Linked DNA regions of Canis lupus familiaris. The protein of the gene in region 3 interacts with the protein of the main gene of each other region in a pairwise test. Links are inferred from orthologs where the notes say so. Each region holds a gene or a part of one and is shown on either strand. Other genes may lie near its edges.

The links. The genes of interacting proteins can lie anywhere in the genome.
Region 1: the proteins of NIF3L1 (region 3) and CDKN2C interact in binary tests that used the Homo sapiens proteins (3 or more experiments, as listed by UniProt). The two-hybrid records come from large-scale screens. The link is inferred for Canis lupus familiaris from reciprocal best matches to the Homo sapiens genes NIF3L1 and CDKN2C.
Region 2: the proteins of NIF3L1 (region 3) and NATD1 interact in binary tests that used the Homo sapiens proteins (3 or more experiments, as listed by UniProt). The two-hybrid records come from large-scale screens. The link is inferred for Canis lupus familiaris from reciprocal best matches to the Homo sapiens genes NIF3L1 and NATD1.

The regions. Positions count from the first base shown.
Region 1 is NC_049236.1:10,264,077-10,268,595, reverse strand, and holds the start of CDKN2C (cyclin-dependent kinase 4 inhibitor C), read left to right. Parts: upstream 1-1,432; 5' UTR 1,433-1,602; intron 1,603-2,053; 5' UTR 2,054-2,064; coding exon 2,065-2,193; intron 2,194-4,519. UniProt on the Homo sapiens protein: Interacts strongly with CDK6, weakly with CDK4. Inhibits cell growth and proliferation with a correlated dependence on endogenous retinoblastoma protein RB.
Region 2 is NC_049226.1:42,920,762-42,925,069, reverse strand, and holds the start of NATD1 (protein NATD1), read left to right. Parts: upstream 1-1,221; 5' UTR 1,222-1,242; coding exon 1,243-1,348; intron 1,349-4,308.
Region 3 is NC_049258.1:9,947,689-9,951,762, reverse strand, and holds part of NIF3L1 (NIF3-like protein 1), read right to left. Parts: intron 3,171-4,074; coding exon 3,032-3,170; intron 1-3,031. UniProt on the Homo sapiens protein: May function as a transcriptional corepressor through its interaction with COPS2, negatively regulating the expression of genes involved in neuronal differentiation.

The sequences.
Region 1 (4,519 bases), on a different chromosome or scaffold from region 3:
GCCCGCGTCCTAAACCAGCTCCCTCTCCCCGCCCGCCCCCGCCGGGCTCCGGGAGTCCGAGGTCTGGAGTCGCCGACTGCATCCCGCCAGCCGGCCTCAGGGAGGCCAAGCCCGGCTCGGCCGGGCAGAACGCCGCTCCAGCGGGGCCGGCGGGGCGGGGGGAGCGGGGCGGGGAGCGGGGCGGGGGAAGCGGGGAGCGGGGCGGGGGAAGCGGGGAGCGGGGAGCGGGAGCCGGGAGCCGGGAGCGGGGCGGGGAGCGCGAGGGCGGGAGGAAGGGCACGGGCGGGCGGCGGGGAGCGGGGCAGCGGGAGGAAGGGCGCGGGCGCGGGCGCGGGCGCGGGCGGGGCGGGGGCGGGGCCAGCGAGCCGCGAGCGCGAGCGCCTCCCGGGCAGGGGGCGGGGCGTGGGCGGCGCCCGGCCTCCCGCTCCCGCGGCGCTGCAACTCGGCCGAGCCTCCTTAAAACTCTGCCGTTAAAATGGGGGCGGGTTTTTCAACTCAAAAAGCGCTCAATTTTTTTCTTTTCAAAAAAAGCTGATGAGGTCGGAAAAAAGAGAGAAGAAACCGGCACCGTCTCCGCAGCGGCAACAGAAGCAGCAATTGTTTGAGCGAAAAAAGAAGCCAAGGCGGGTGGGAAGGAAAAGAGCTGAAAAGAGGACAACGCGCAAGTTGTCTGCAGGGGTGAAGAGAGCGGGGCCCGGCGATCTGGGGGACCAGCTACAAAAGAAACTGTCAGCGGGAGCGCTGCGGCTGCGGAGGGAGCGGCGGTGCCCGGCTCGGCCGCGGGCACAGTTCGCTGGCGGCCGCGCCCCGTCGGCGGCACGGGCCGGGGGCACGGGCCGGGGGCACAGGCCGTGGGCGGCCGGAGGGCGGCGGGGCGGCGGCGGGGCCGGAGCCGCGGGGCTGTCGCCGACGGGCGGGCAGGACCCGCTGCTCTCGGGCGTTGCGGCGGCCCCCGGTCCCCGGACCTTGGCCTGCGCTTCCCCGGCCGCTCCCGACCTCCGGAGGTCCCCCGAAACCCGCGGAAGGAAGGAAGAGCCGGCGGCGGCGGTTCGAGGAGAGGCTGCGGTGGGAAGTCTGGACCGGCTCGGTCGTAGGCGGGAAGCCAGCGGCGCGCCGCCCCAGCAGCCCGGGCCGCGTAGACGGGGCCCGCACGGCCGCCCCGCGCCCCCTTCCTCGCGCCGCCGGGGGTCCCGGGACCCGCGGGGGCCGGCATGAGCGACCTGCCCGGGGCCCGCCGCGCGCCCGGCCGTCCTCGGAGGCGCGCTCGCAGCCCGGCGCCCGCGGCCCGGGAGGCTCGGCGAGGCTGCGGCGGCGCGGCAGGCGGGCCGCGGAGCCCTCCCGCGCGGCGTTAGCCGGCGGGGCCGCCCGGAGCGAGTCGGGGCTCCCCCGAGCAGCCGAGGCCACACAGGAGCGTTGGGACCTAGAGCTTGAGGGCCACGAACTGCCAGCGGCGTCTGCCTCCGCGCCGGCCTCCCCGCCGCGGGCGCCCTCCCCGCCGCGGGCGCAGCACGACCCTTCGGCACACGGATGGAGACCGGGCCCTGCGAGGACCTGCCCCCGCGGTTCTGGCTCGCGCGGCTCCAGCCACCGCCGTGAGCACGGGTGGGTTAATGCCTCCTCTCCCCCGAACCCCTCCTGCCGCGGCGCTCTACGCCCTGGTCTAGCCGCCGAGGTCCCCGCACGCAGGACTCGCGGAGACCTGTATGTAGATACGTGACAGCTCTGCCAGCATTTTACGTCCAGAGCAATTTGCCGGCAATGTATAGACGTCTGTGTGTCTTTCTGTTGAGTCACCAGAATTCTTCACAGGGGTTAAGCTAAAGAGCGAGGAGCGGAGCCCCTCTCCAATGGCTCAGTTTTGCTGAATAATCACGTGTGAACCGAGGGGCGGGCTTTTGGCAGGCAGATCTTACTAGTATTTACTACCAAGCTCTACTCCAGATTAACCATCCCAGTCCTTCTGTCAGTCTCCGATGCCATCATGCAGCCTGGTTAGGAGCAAAAGGAAAGGGGAAAAAGAAAAACAACTAATTCATCTTTTCCCGATCGTCAGGACCCTAAAGAATGGCCGAGCCTTGGGGGAACGAGTTGGCGTCTGCAGCTGCCAGGGGGGACCTAGAGCAACTTACTAGTTTGTTGCAAAATAATGTAAACGTCAATGCACAAAATGGATTTGGAAGGACTGCGCTGCAGGTTGGTATCCAGAGAGGTGGGGAAAACAGGTCAACAATGTTGCCTACGTGACCCGGGTTTCTGGAATAACGGCTTTTAAGCTTTCAGGGGTACAGAATTTCACTGTTTTTTAAGCCTACTTGGTTGCCATATTTTATATCTTTAAGTGGATCCGAGTCCCCAAAAATGACGTACTTTGAACAAACTCGTCGAATTCAATGACATCCTCGATATCAGATGGGTTCCAGGTTTGGTCTTAATTTTTGGAATGTTTTTGTGACGGTGGGGATTTAAAAGTAGTCGAAGCAGCGCCGAGGTGTGTGTGTGTGTGTCTGTGTGTGTGTGTGTTTTAAGACAGCTCTGTAAACACATTATTATAGTTATTATTTGAAGTAAATACTCTGCTATTAGTGGTTTCCGTGCTTTGCTCCAATAATTGGCTTTAACGTTAATTTTCTTGACTCCTGGCGAGGGTGTTTTTCCTTCAAATGCTTCAAGTTTTGACAAACGACCTTTCCTCGTTTGGAATAGGTGGCCTGGGCACAGGGACAGGATGTACATTTCACAGTTAATGCAATACCATCCACCCGTTCGGGATTGAGGAGGAATAAAAAGTTGAATTTTCTAATCAGAGCTCAGTTTGTAGTATTTTTGTCTCTGAGGTCATGCGGTGGTATGTTCTAATTTTCAGTAATTAGATTTACAAGCAAGAAATGAAACATGTCCAGCTGCCAAGTATTGTACCTGATAATTTTTTTCCTCCTCTGAATGTTAATTATCATGTAACTTAGTTGAAAGGCTTAGAAACAGAAAAATGGCAAAGTAGTCTCAAATAGTTGCTTTATCAAAGTTCTAATAGTGTTCTTATAAACCGTTCTTATTCGGAAATGCAACACTTGAAGCTGTTTTTGAAAATTCATTGGGGAGAAGGTTTTAGAATGCTTTGTTTTACTTACAAGAATTAGACTTAAAAGTAGCAGGAGATACGCTATTAACAGACGAAGTTCAGTCTGTACATTTTTAAATCAGAACATACCGGCCTTGCAAAAATTTCAGTATTAAGGAAATTTATGCATAAATACTAAATTATTTAATCTTGTTATTTCACGTAGATTCTATGGGATAAGGAATTTTTTTCTTTGTCCACCTAGTAGTTTTTAATAGCTTTGATGATGATAACAATGCTACAAATTTGATATATTGAAAAGTTTCCTATTGAAAATCCAAAGATTATATAAATTTGACTAAGAATGAGCAATTTAACCCATGTTCAGAATAAGATCTTACAGGACTTTTGATGAACAGGAAGACTGACAAAAAGTTTTGATATTTTTAATACAACTTTGCAATCTTGTTTATATTAAGCACACTTATCAATATACTAATACCCATTTATTGTGGCTTAACCCTAATTTATATAATGAAACATACACAAACAGGAGTCTCAAGGTTTATTTTCAGTATGTATAATCCTGACTCTGAAGTTGTGTCATAACTCAAGAAAGAACTTTCTTTCAAAACAATTTCCAGTATTACTATTATTTTCTGTGAAAGGCGAATTTTCTTCTATAATTATGTTCATTTAACCTGGTTGCAAAAGCTTTTCCCCCCTTCCTAGTGTAAGCTTTTCAATCAGGATAATGTGAAAGGCCTTAATCGCGCATTTGCTCTACAAAGATCCAAGGTGTCTGTCCCTTATTTTTCCCGGTCTAGATCTTTAAATGTGACTAAATCTTTAGAGATAGTTGTGGCAAAAATTAGATTGTGTTCGTTTTTAACTAATAAATATATTTTATTGAAATTCTCAAAAAATAAATTATGTATCATTTTTACCATTGCTCCAAAGGCAAGGCTAGGTCAGCAGGGTTTTATCAACAGGGAAGCTTAATACCTTGGCCATCTATATAGTTTGCATTCATAAAATATTATTCATTCTAAATATATTTTATTACTTAATTTGTGATTATTTTTTAAATAAACAATTTAAAGTGACAGATCAACTTTGTAGGAATTTTTCAGTGGATTATATTTGATTTCACAAACATTTGAGTGTCTACTATGTACTCTGTTTATTATAAATTTAGGTGATTATGAATATACCTAAATATAATTGAAACCAGTTAAAATGCTGAACTATTTTCTGGGATGTTAATGAGACTACATTTTTTTTCACAACTAAATTATATGTATTATATAATCGCATGCTGCTCTACAAGACATTTTATAATTATGAGAGCCTAACAGAGACCCTATTAGGATGAAATATGTTCAAACAACAGTAGATAAATCTTTCTCGTGTGAATTATTTGTATGTTGATAGCAAATTTTAATACCACATTCTGACTTT
Region 2 (4,308 bases), on a different chromosome or scaffold from region 3:
ACTAGAGTCAAGCAGAACTATTTTCCAGGCTCGTGATAAGAATGTTCACTGAGGGGGGGGCGGCGGGGACTAACCCTACGCCTTGCCCGCAGCCGCGCCGCCGCGCCCTCTGCGCCCCCGCCCGCGCCCCCGCCGCCCCGTCGGGCCAGCCCGGCCTGATGGCGCAGATGGCGTCCACGGCAGCCGGGGTGGCGGTGGGCTCGGCTGTGGGGCATGTCGTGGGCAGCGCCCCGACCGGAGCCTTCAGCGGGGGCAGCTCGGAGCCCGCCCAGCCCGCCGCTCAGCAGGCCCCCACCCGCACTGGGCCCCAGCCCCTGCAGATGGGGCCCTGCGCCTAGAGGTCAGGCAGTTCCTGGACTGCTCCACCACTCAGAGTGACCTGTCCCTGTGTGAGGGCTTCGGCGAGGCCCTGAAGCAGTGCAAGTACGACCACGGTCTGAGCTCTCTGAGCCCCCTGCCCTGAAGAGACAGGTACGGACTGGTGCGGATCCCTGAGCCAACCCTGCACCCACCTTCACCCCTTCACCGACAGCCGGACCATGACCTCAGATTGTACCCATGTAGCTGGGATTGGGAATGAGGAGGGGGGTTTCTCACCCCACAGATGACCGGAGACGCAAATGTGCAATTAAAAGAGTTTATTTTAGACCATTAAAAAAAAAAAATGTTCACTGAGCGCAGGTGTAGCTTACCAGGGCTTTGCCCCGCACCCGCTGCGCACACAGCAAGTGCTTAATAACTGGTGGCTTCGAGGGGAGGATTAGAGATCCCCGTATATAGGTCGTTTCATGTTCTTGAGAAGGGGTCCGTGTAGGGGGCCCAAGTGGCTCGCGGGTCCAACGCAAGAGGGCACAGCGTCCCCGGGGCGGACGCGGCTCGCGTTGTTTTGTTTGGAGGGACGAGTGGCACGCGGCCAGGGAGGCGCTCGGCCCCTTTAAGAGTCGAGTGGAATGTATCAAAACAGAAAGGCCGCGTGCCCATTGGCCGCGCGCCGCACGTGACCTCACAGCTGATTTCCTGGCCCCCCTCCTTTTTTTGTTGCTGCCGCCGCCGCGGCCGCCGCCGAGTGTCAGTTTCTGCGCCGCCGCCTGCGGTCCCCCGGCCGTCCCGCGGCCCCCCCCCCCCCGCCGCCGCCGCCGCCGCCCCGCCGCGGGCCCGCGCACCTCTCCGCGCGTCCGGCCCCGCCGAGCCGGCTCGGCCCGAGGGTCCCGGCGGCCGCTGCCGGCGCTGCCCCGCGCGCAGATGGCGCACTCGGCGGCCGCCGTGCCGCTGGGCGCGCTGGAGCAGGGCTGCCCCATCCGCGTGGAGCACGACCGCCGGCGCCGCCAGTTCACCGTCCGGCTCAACGGTAACGCGGCGTCCGGCCCGCCCCCGCCTTTTGTCTGCGAGCGAGCGGGGCCCGCCGAGGCCGCCCCCTAGCTGGGGCGCGCGCCCTCGGCCCCGGGCCCGGGAGGGGCGTCGCGAGCGCGCGCCGCGGGGTGGCCTCCGCGGGGCCCCGCTCCGCTCCCGCTCCGCCCCGCGCTCCGGGAGCAGGCCACGCGCTGTGCCCGCGGGCGAGGCGGGGGCGCGGCCGGCTCGCGGGGCAGGGGTGGGGGGAGGGGGCCCCGGGGCAGGCAGAGGTCCAAGCAGGGCCGGCCCGGGTCCTCCGCCGCCAGCACCCAGCTTCAGGCCGCAGGGGACCCGCACCTGCTCCAGCGCCGCCGTGTCCCGGTGTTGGACACCCCCTGGGGGCTGTTGTGGGAGTCCTGGAGAGTGAGTCCACCGTGACCTCCTGCCTCTCCCTGGTGGCCACACGGCTTCTGGCCGCCCCTGGGAACTTTAGCTTTTCTGCACCCGGGTTGGGGGCATCTCCTGGGCAGACCTGGGGTGAGGGAGAGAGGGGTGTCTGCTTCACGGGGGGCGGGGGGGGGGGGTGCGATAGAGGGGAAGGTGTCACCATCGGTCCGTTGGCTCTGAGACTTTGGCCAAGTGACCTCCACTCTGTGTGCCCCGGTTTCTCCATCTCTACAATGGGAGTGACACCAGTGCACACCTGAGCCCTGGTTGGAGGGACAAAATGCTGTAATAATGAGAGTAAAGAAGCCTTAGAATAGCCCTGGCAGAGCAAGTGCTGCTCTACTGATGGTGGTTTTGAAAACCAGAAAGCAAAGTCTTCATTTCCTGTAAAGAAAGTTTCCACCACTTACTAGCCTGTGCCCCCTCCTGGCTAAGAGGTCTGAGGGGACAGAAAATAGAATGATAAGATCTAGGATCAGGAGCTCTCTATGCACCCCCTCTCTGCATTAATAACTTTTTCTTCCATCCCAGCTGGGCCCCCCTGCGGCAGTGTCCAAGCCAGAAGGGCCCTCAGAGGCCATTGTGCCCATTTCTGACAAGGGAAGACAGAGGCTCGGCGAAGGGAGAGGCTCGCCTAAGGTCAGGCAGTGAGTTAGGGCAGAGCTGGGATAGGATCCCCCCTAGTGTGAGCCCTGGAGCTGGGCTTATCCAGCCTGTACTTGCACGGGAAGTCAGGAGGGGCTGGGGCAGGGACAAGGACGGACCGCATCCCTGCTACAACATCCCCTTCATGTGGGCATTCTCACCCCACGTTACGGATGAGTAAACTGAGTTTTGAACGGTAGGGGAGGAGTGACCCCCCAAAGTGCCAGAGCTCAAGCCCAGGCCCGACTGACCAGGCACCGTGTTCTTTCCGTGTGGACGCAGGTTCTTCCACCACTGTGGTGCTCACTGTGGTCCAGGTGACCTTGACACTCCAGTTGGCCACTTGTGTGGAGGGTCCTTGTGGCTTTTCACAGCTTCTTTTCTGAGGTTCCAGGGAGGCCTGTGTTTCCCTAGGGGCTCAGGAGGTTCCTCTGTACAGTCAGAAAGTTTGGGGTTTTCCTTTTTGTTGCCAATCAGTCCAGCCAAAGGACACCCCTCCAGGATTGGCAATGGTCAAGGCTGGATGTGCCTAGCCGTTTTTCTAACCTTGTCTCCTGCCCTTCCCTGAATGGCTAACTCCATCATGGACTGGGGCTCCCCAGCCAAGCCCAGGGAGCAGTGGGAGGCCACCAGCTTCTGTCCAGCCTGGGAGGGGGGTCTGGCTGTGTATATGGGGAGTAGTAGGGTGAGAGCATCCATGTCTGGGCCTGGGCCTTTCCTCAGCTGCAGAGGGTAACGTCCTGCCATAGAGCCCCCCGAACAGCAGGGCAGGCCCTGGAGACTAGCTCAGGGTGCCTACCGAGGGAGGTGAATGCTCAGCCTGAGAGCCAGAGCAGCCTCTGGGGCCATCCCCCTGGCAGAGCTGTACCAATGAGTTTCTAGCGAGCTCCGCTTGTGGGCGATGGCAGAGGCTGAGCCACTGCATCCGAGTCCTTGCGTCCCGGGCGGGTTCTGGGCATGTGGCGGGGGGGGGGGGGGGGGGGGGGGGGGTGAGGGGAAACTGCTCTTCCTGTTTTATAGATGAGGATCCCTAGATACAGGGAAGTGACTGGCTTGCTCAGGGTCTTGTACTCAGAGGTGGGAGAACTGGGATCCCTCACACAGGCTGTTATTGAGTGCCTACTGTGTACCAAACATTGTTCTAGGTGCTGAGTACTGGTAGGCTGACAGTCTAGACGGGCAGTAGACAATATGTGAAGTGTCAAGTGTCCTAGAAGGCAAGGGCCTGGTTAGGCAAAGGCTGCTGCCTAGAATCCAGGGTCCAGGGGGGCCACTCTGGGAACGTGCCAGTTACTTAAAGACCTAAAGGAGGCAAGAAGGGAGAGCTCCATCAGACAGAGCACTCCAAGTGGAGGAGGCAGCAAGACCGAAGGCCCTGTATGTCATAGGTGGGGACACCAGGGCACATAGCCAGTAGGCATCTAAGGCAGCACTGAGCCCCTGTCCCTGGGAAGTCCCTCCTTGGCCTTAGCTCTGACCTCCCAGCCAGGGCTGAGTGTCCCACGTGTTGCAGGGAGGAAGGTCATCTGGGTCCTAGAATCCTGGTGCTTTCTGCATGCTCCCTGATCCCCAACCCTGGGGCAGGGTAAGCCCTGACTTCCAGTCCCAGCTCTGCCGAGTGACCTCAGGCCAGCCAGTCCTGACACCTCTGTGTCCCAAGCACTTACCTGTCCCTCCTAGGACACTTGCTACACCCTCCTGGACCTCAGAATCACCTTGAGATCATGAACTGTAACTAGTTTTGAGAACAGTTAAAGCTGCTCCACTAGTGAAGGCCCTGCCCTGAGTTTCTCCACTCTGGTACCCTCCACCCAGCCCCAACTCAGCCCCAAAGTCCCCGGGGAAGTTATCAGGAGAAGCAGTCACTGAGAAATTGTCTTCCCTGGC
Region 3 (4,074 bases):
ATGCTGGGAAACCTGGACAGCTACACATAAAAGAATAAAACTGGACCACTTTCTTACACCATACACAAAAACAAACTCAAGACAGTTTAAAAACCTAAGTGTGAGGGCAGCTGGGGTGGCTCAGCGGTTTAGCGCCACCTTCAGCCCAGGGCGTGATCCTGGGAGACCCAGGATCGAGTCCCACTTTAGGCTCCCTGCATGGAGCCTGCTTCTCCCTCTGCTTCTCTCTCTCTCTTTTTCTCTCTCTCTCTCTCTGGTGTTTCTCAAGAGTGAATAAAAAAAAACCTAAAAAAAAAGAAAACAAAAAAAACTAAAACAAAAACCTAAATGTGAGACCTGAAACCATAAAACTCTTAGAAGAAATCATAAGCAGTCATTTCCCTGACATTAGCCTTAGCAATATTTTTCTAGATAGGTCTTCTCAGGCAAGGTAAACAAAAGCAAAAATAAATTATTGAGACCACATCAAAATAAAAAAACTTTTGCACAGCAAAGAAAACCATCAACAAAATGAAAAAGGCAATCTACTGAATGGAAAAAGACATTTGCAATGATGAATCCAATAACAGGTTAACATCCAAAATATATAAAAGAACTTAGACAACTGACACTAAGGAAAAAAAAACAAAAACCTCAAATAATCCGATTTAAAGATGGGCAGAAGACCTGAACTAACATTTTTCCAAAGACATAAAGATGGCCAACAGATATGTGAAGAGATGCTCAATATCATTCATCATCAGGGAAATGCAAATCAAAACCACAATAAAGTATCATTCACACCTATCAGAAAGGCTGAAGTAAAAAAGACCAGAAATAACAAGTGTTGCTGAGGAGGGGAGAAAAAGGAACCCTCATCCATTGTTGATGGGAATACAAACTGGTACAGTCACTGTGGAAAACAGTATGGAGATTCCTCAAAAAATTAAAAATATGTATACCACATGACCTAATAATTCCACTACTAGGTATTTATGCAAGGAAAGTAAAAACACTAACATGAAAAGACATATGTACTTCTATGTCTACTGCAGCATTATTTACAACAGCCAAGCTAAGGAAGCAACCTAAATGCTCATCAATAAATGAATGGACAAAGATGCAGTAAACACACATAATGGAACATTTACTCTGCCACAAAAAAGCAGATCTTGCCATGGATGGACGAAGAGGGTTTTATGCTAAGTGAAATAAAAGTCAGAGAGAGAAAGACAAATACCATATGAGGAATTATATATGGAATCTAAAAAAACAAAAAGCAGGAGACCCATAAATACAGAGAACAGACGGTTGCCAGAGCGGAGGGAGAATGGGCAAAATAGGTGAAGGGGAGTTAGGAGACACTTCCAGAATGAATAAGTCATGAGGACAAAAGGTACAGCATAGGGAATATGGTTCATGGTATTTTAACAGCATTGTATGGTGACAGATTGGTGGCCACACCTAGTGAGCACTTGCTGAATCATTATGTTGTACACCTGAAACTAATGAAACATTATATGTCAACTACACTTTAATTAAAAAAAAAATAAAACAGAGATGCCTGGGTGACACAGTTAAGCATCCGACTCTGAGTTTCAACTCAGATCTTGATCTTAGGGTCATGATCTCAGGGTCATGAGATCAAGCCTCACTCCCAGCTCCCTGTGGTACAGTCTGCTTAGGATTGTCTCTCTCCCCCTCTGCCCCTCTCCACCCCTCTACACATGCCCATGCACTCTAAAATAAATAAATAAATCTTTAAAAATAATTAATCAAATAAAAATTTTAAGTCTTAAAGAAAATAATCAAAAAAGCAGTTTTGGAGTTGGATCAGAAGTCAAATCTCATCTCTACCATCCATTTTCTTTGGAAACTAACTCCCATGAGTTGTTGTGGACTAAGTTACCTATATTTCTGAATGTCAATTTTTTCACCTGTAATATAATGGGAATAATAATCCTACCACACAGCTAACATGTACTATACTTAATGTGTGCCAGTCACTGTGCCCTGTCACATGGATTATACTACCTTGATGAGTCAGGTTTTATTATTACTGCAGTTTTTACAGATGAGACTACCATGACACAGGGGTGTTAAATAACTTGTCAAAGTCATGCAGCGAATAGGACAGATGAATTTGAACCCAAGTCATTCAGAATCTACACTCATAACAACTATGCTCCACTCACTGCCTCTGCAGTAGGAATTCACATACTTAGGACATTCAGTATGTTGCTAGGCCCAACAAATGTTGTTTTTTTTTTTTTTTTTTTTAAAGATATTCATGATCCATGAGAGACACAGAGACACACACACACAAAGAAAGAGAGAGAGAGAGAGAGAGAGAGGCAGAGACATAGGCAAAGGGAGAACCAGGCTCCATGCAGGGAGCCCAACGTGGGACTTGATCCCGGGTCTCCAGGATCACGCCCCAAGCTGAAGGTAGGCACTAAACCGCTGAGCCACCCGGACTGCCCTATTCTGTTCCTTTCTTCTGTTCCCCAAGATACTGGGAAAAGCCAAAAGATAAGACACTGGCTACAAGACTCAAACTGTAGTGGATCACTATTTATCACCTCACTATAAAATATCACCAGTATTGTAAAATATAATATTTGCATTATAATTAGAGCAATAATAATTAACAGCTCTTTTCGTGGCCCATGGTAGGACTACATTTCATGCCCTGACTTGTACTGGCAGTGTGATTAATTCTGGACAAGAGTTGAACAGAAAACATTCCAGGCTAGAATGTTTAACTGATGTGTTTAAGACCCTCCGAAATGCCTCCTCTGCAACACTGATCAGCCTATGGTGAAGAGACTTCTGCTGACTTGAAATGAACACCAAATATGAGAGACATAAATCTTGTTTGAGCCAATGAGATAACCGAGCCCACCCTGATTGATAAAATAAACCATCCATCTTCTGTGAACTAATGTTTCCTGTCACTTATATTAATATAACCAAGAGCTATAACTTGGCCCATATACTACATAATACTACATTAGTAGGTACACTGGACAAATAAACAGTACATATTTACCTAAGGTCCTTCCTACCCCAAGAGCAAGGCGAACATGAGATAGTTTAAGGTGCCTTTTGATTCGATCAATCATGGTTGCCAAGGAAACAGATTCATCCAGTGTGCACAACCGTCCCATTCCAGTGTGTAGAAGCAGAGGCTGAAGAGAAACAGAAGTTAGAAAAACTGTCCATTTCAGTCCTAGAAAACAAACAGCAAATGCTGAGGACAATAAAATATGCACTGTGAGCTTACTATACCCAGTACCAGGCTAAAGTTTGGTTATGCAAAATGACAAAAACATTCTCTGATTTCTAGGAGCTCAGTGTTCTGTAAAGGCAAATGTTTAGTTAACTAACCACAATAAAAGTGCTTAAATACAAGAGAGGTACTATTTTATGGGAGCCAAAGCAATGACAAAATAAATGAGCTGGGAGTTCAGGTGGGAGTACTTGGAGGAAGTGGAATCAAAGGCTTTACGGACTTGTGTTTCCCAGACCAGAAAAAAGTTTAAAAAAAAAAAAAAAAAGAAAGGAGTGATGTCAGGTGCAGTGTGGTAGGAAAGGGATAGGTGAAATGTGTAAAGGCATGAGCTCAGACACTATAGCTGGTGTGCAGAGCAAGGGATGGGGACAGAAGCCATAGCTAGTCATGAAGGGCTTTGTACATTATGCTAAAAATCATGGGCTGTCTCTTGTAGGGGCTCACTAGCAAGACTACTCATGTCCCAGATGATGAAAGATCAGAATTTCAAGTACTATGGTGACAAAGCAAATAAAGAAGAGAAACAGTTCAGACTTGGGGACAAACTAAGCAGGGCTTGGATTTAGGAGAGGCAAAGCAGGTTGCAGAAACTTGGAAAGTAAGGTAGATGATGATGCCATCAATGAAATAGAAAAAATATGTAAAGGGTTGATGTAGGGGCACCTGAGTGGCTCAGTCAGTTAAGTGTCCAACTGTTGATTTTGGCTCGGGTAATAATCTCAGGGTGGAGCCTGCTGAAGATTCTTTCTCTCTCTCTGCCCCTCCTTCCAAACCCTGCTTTCACGGGTGCACACGTTCTC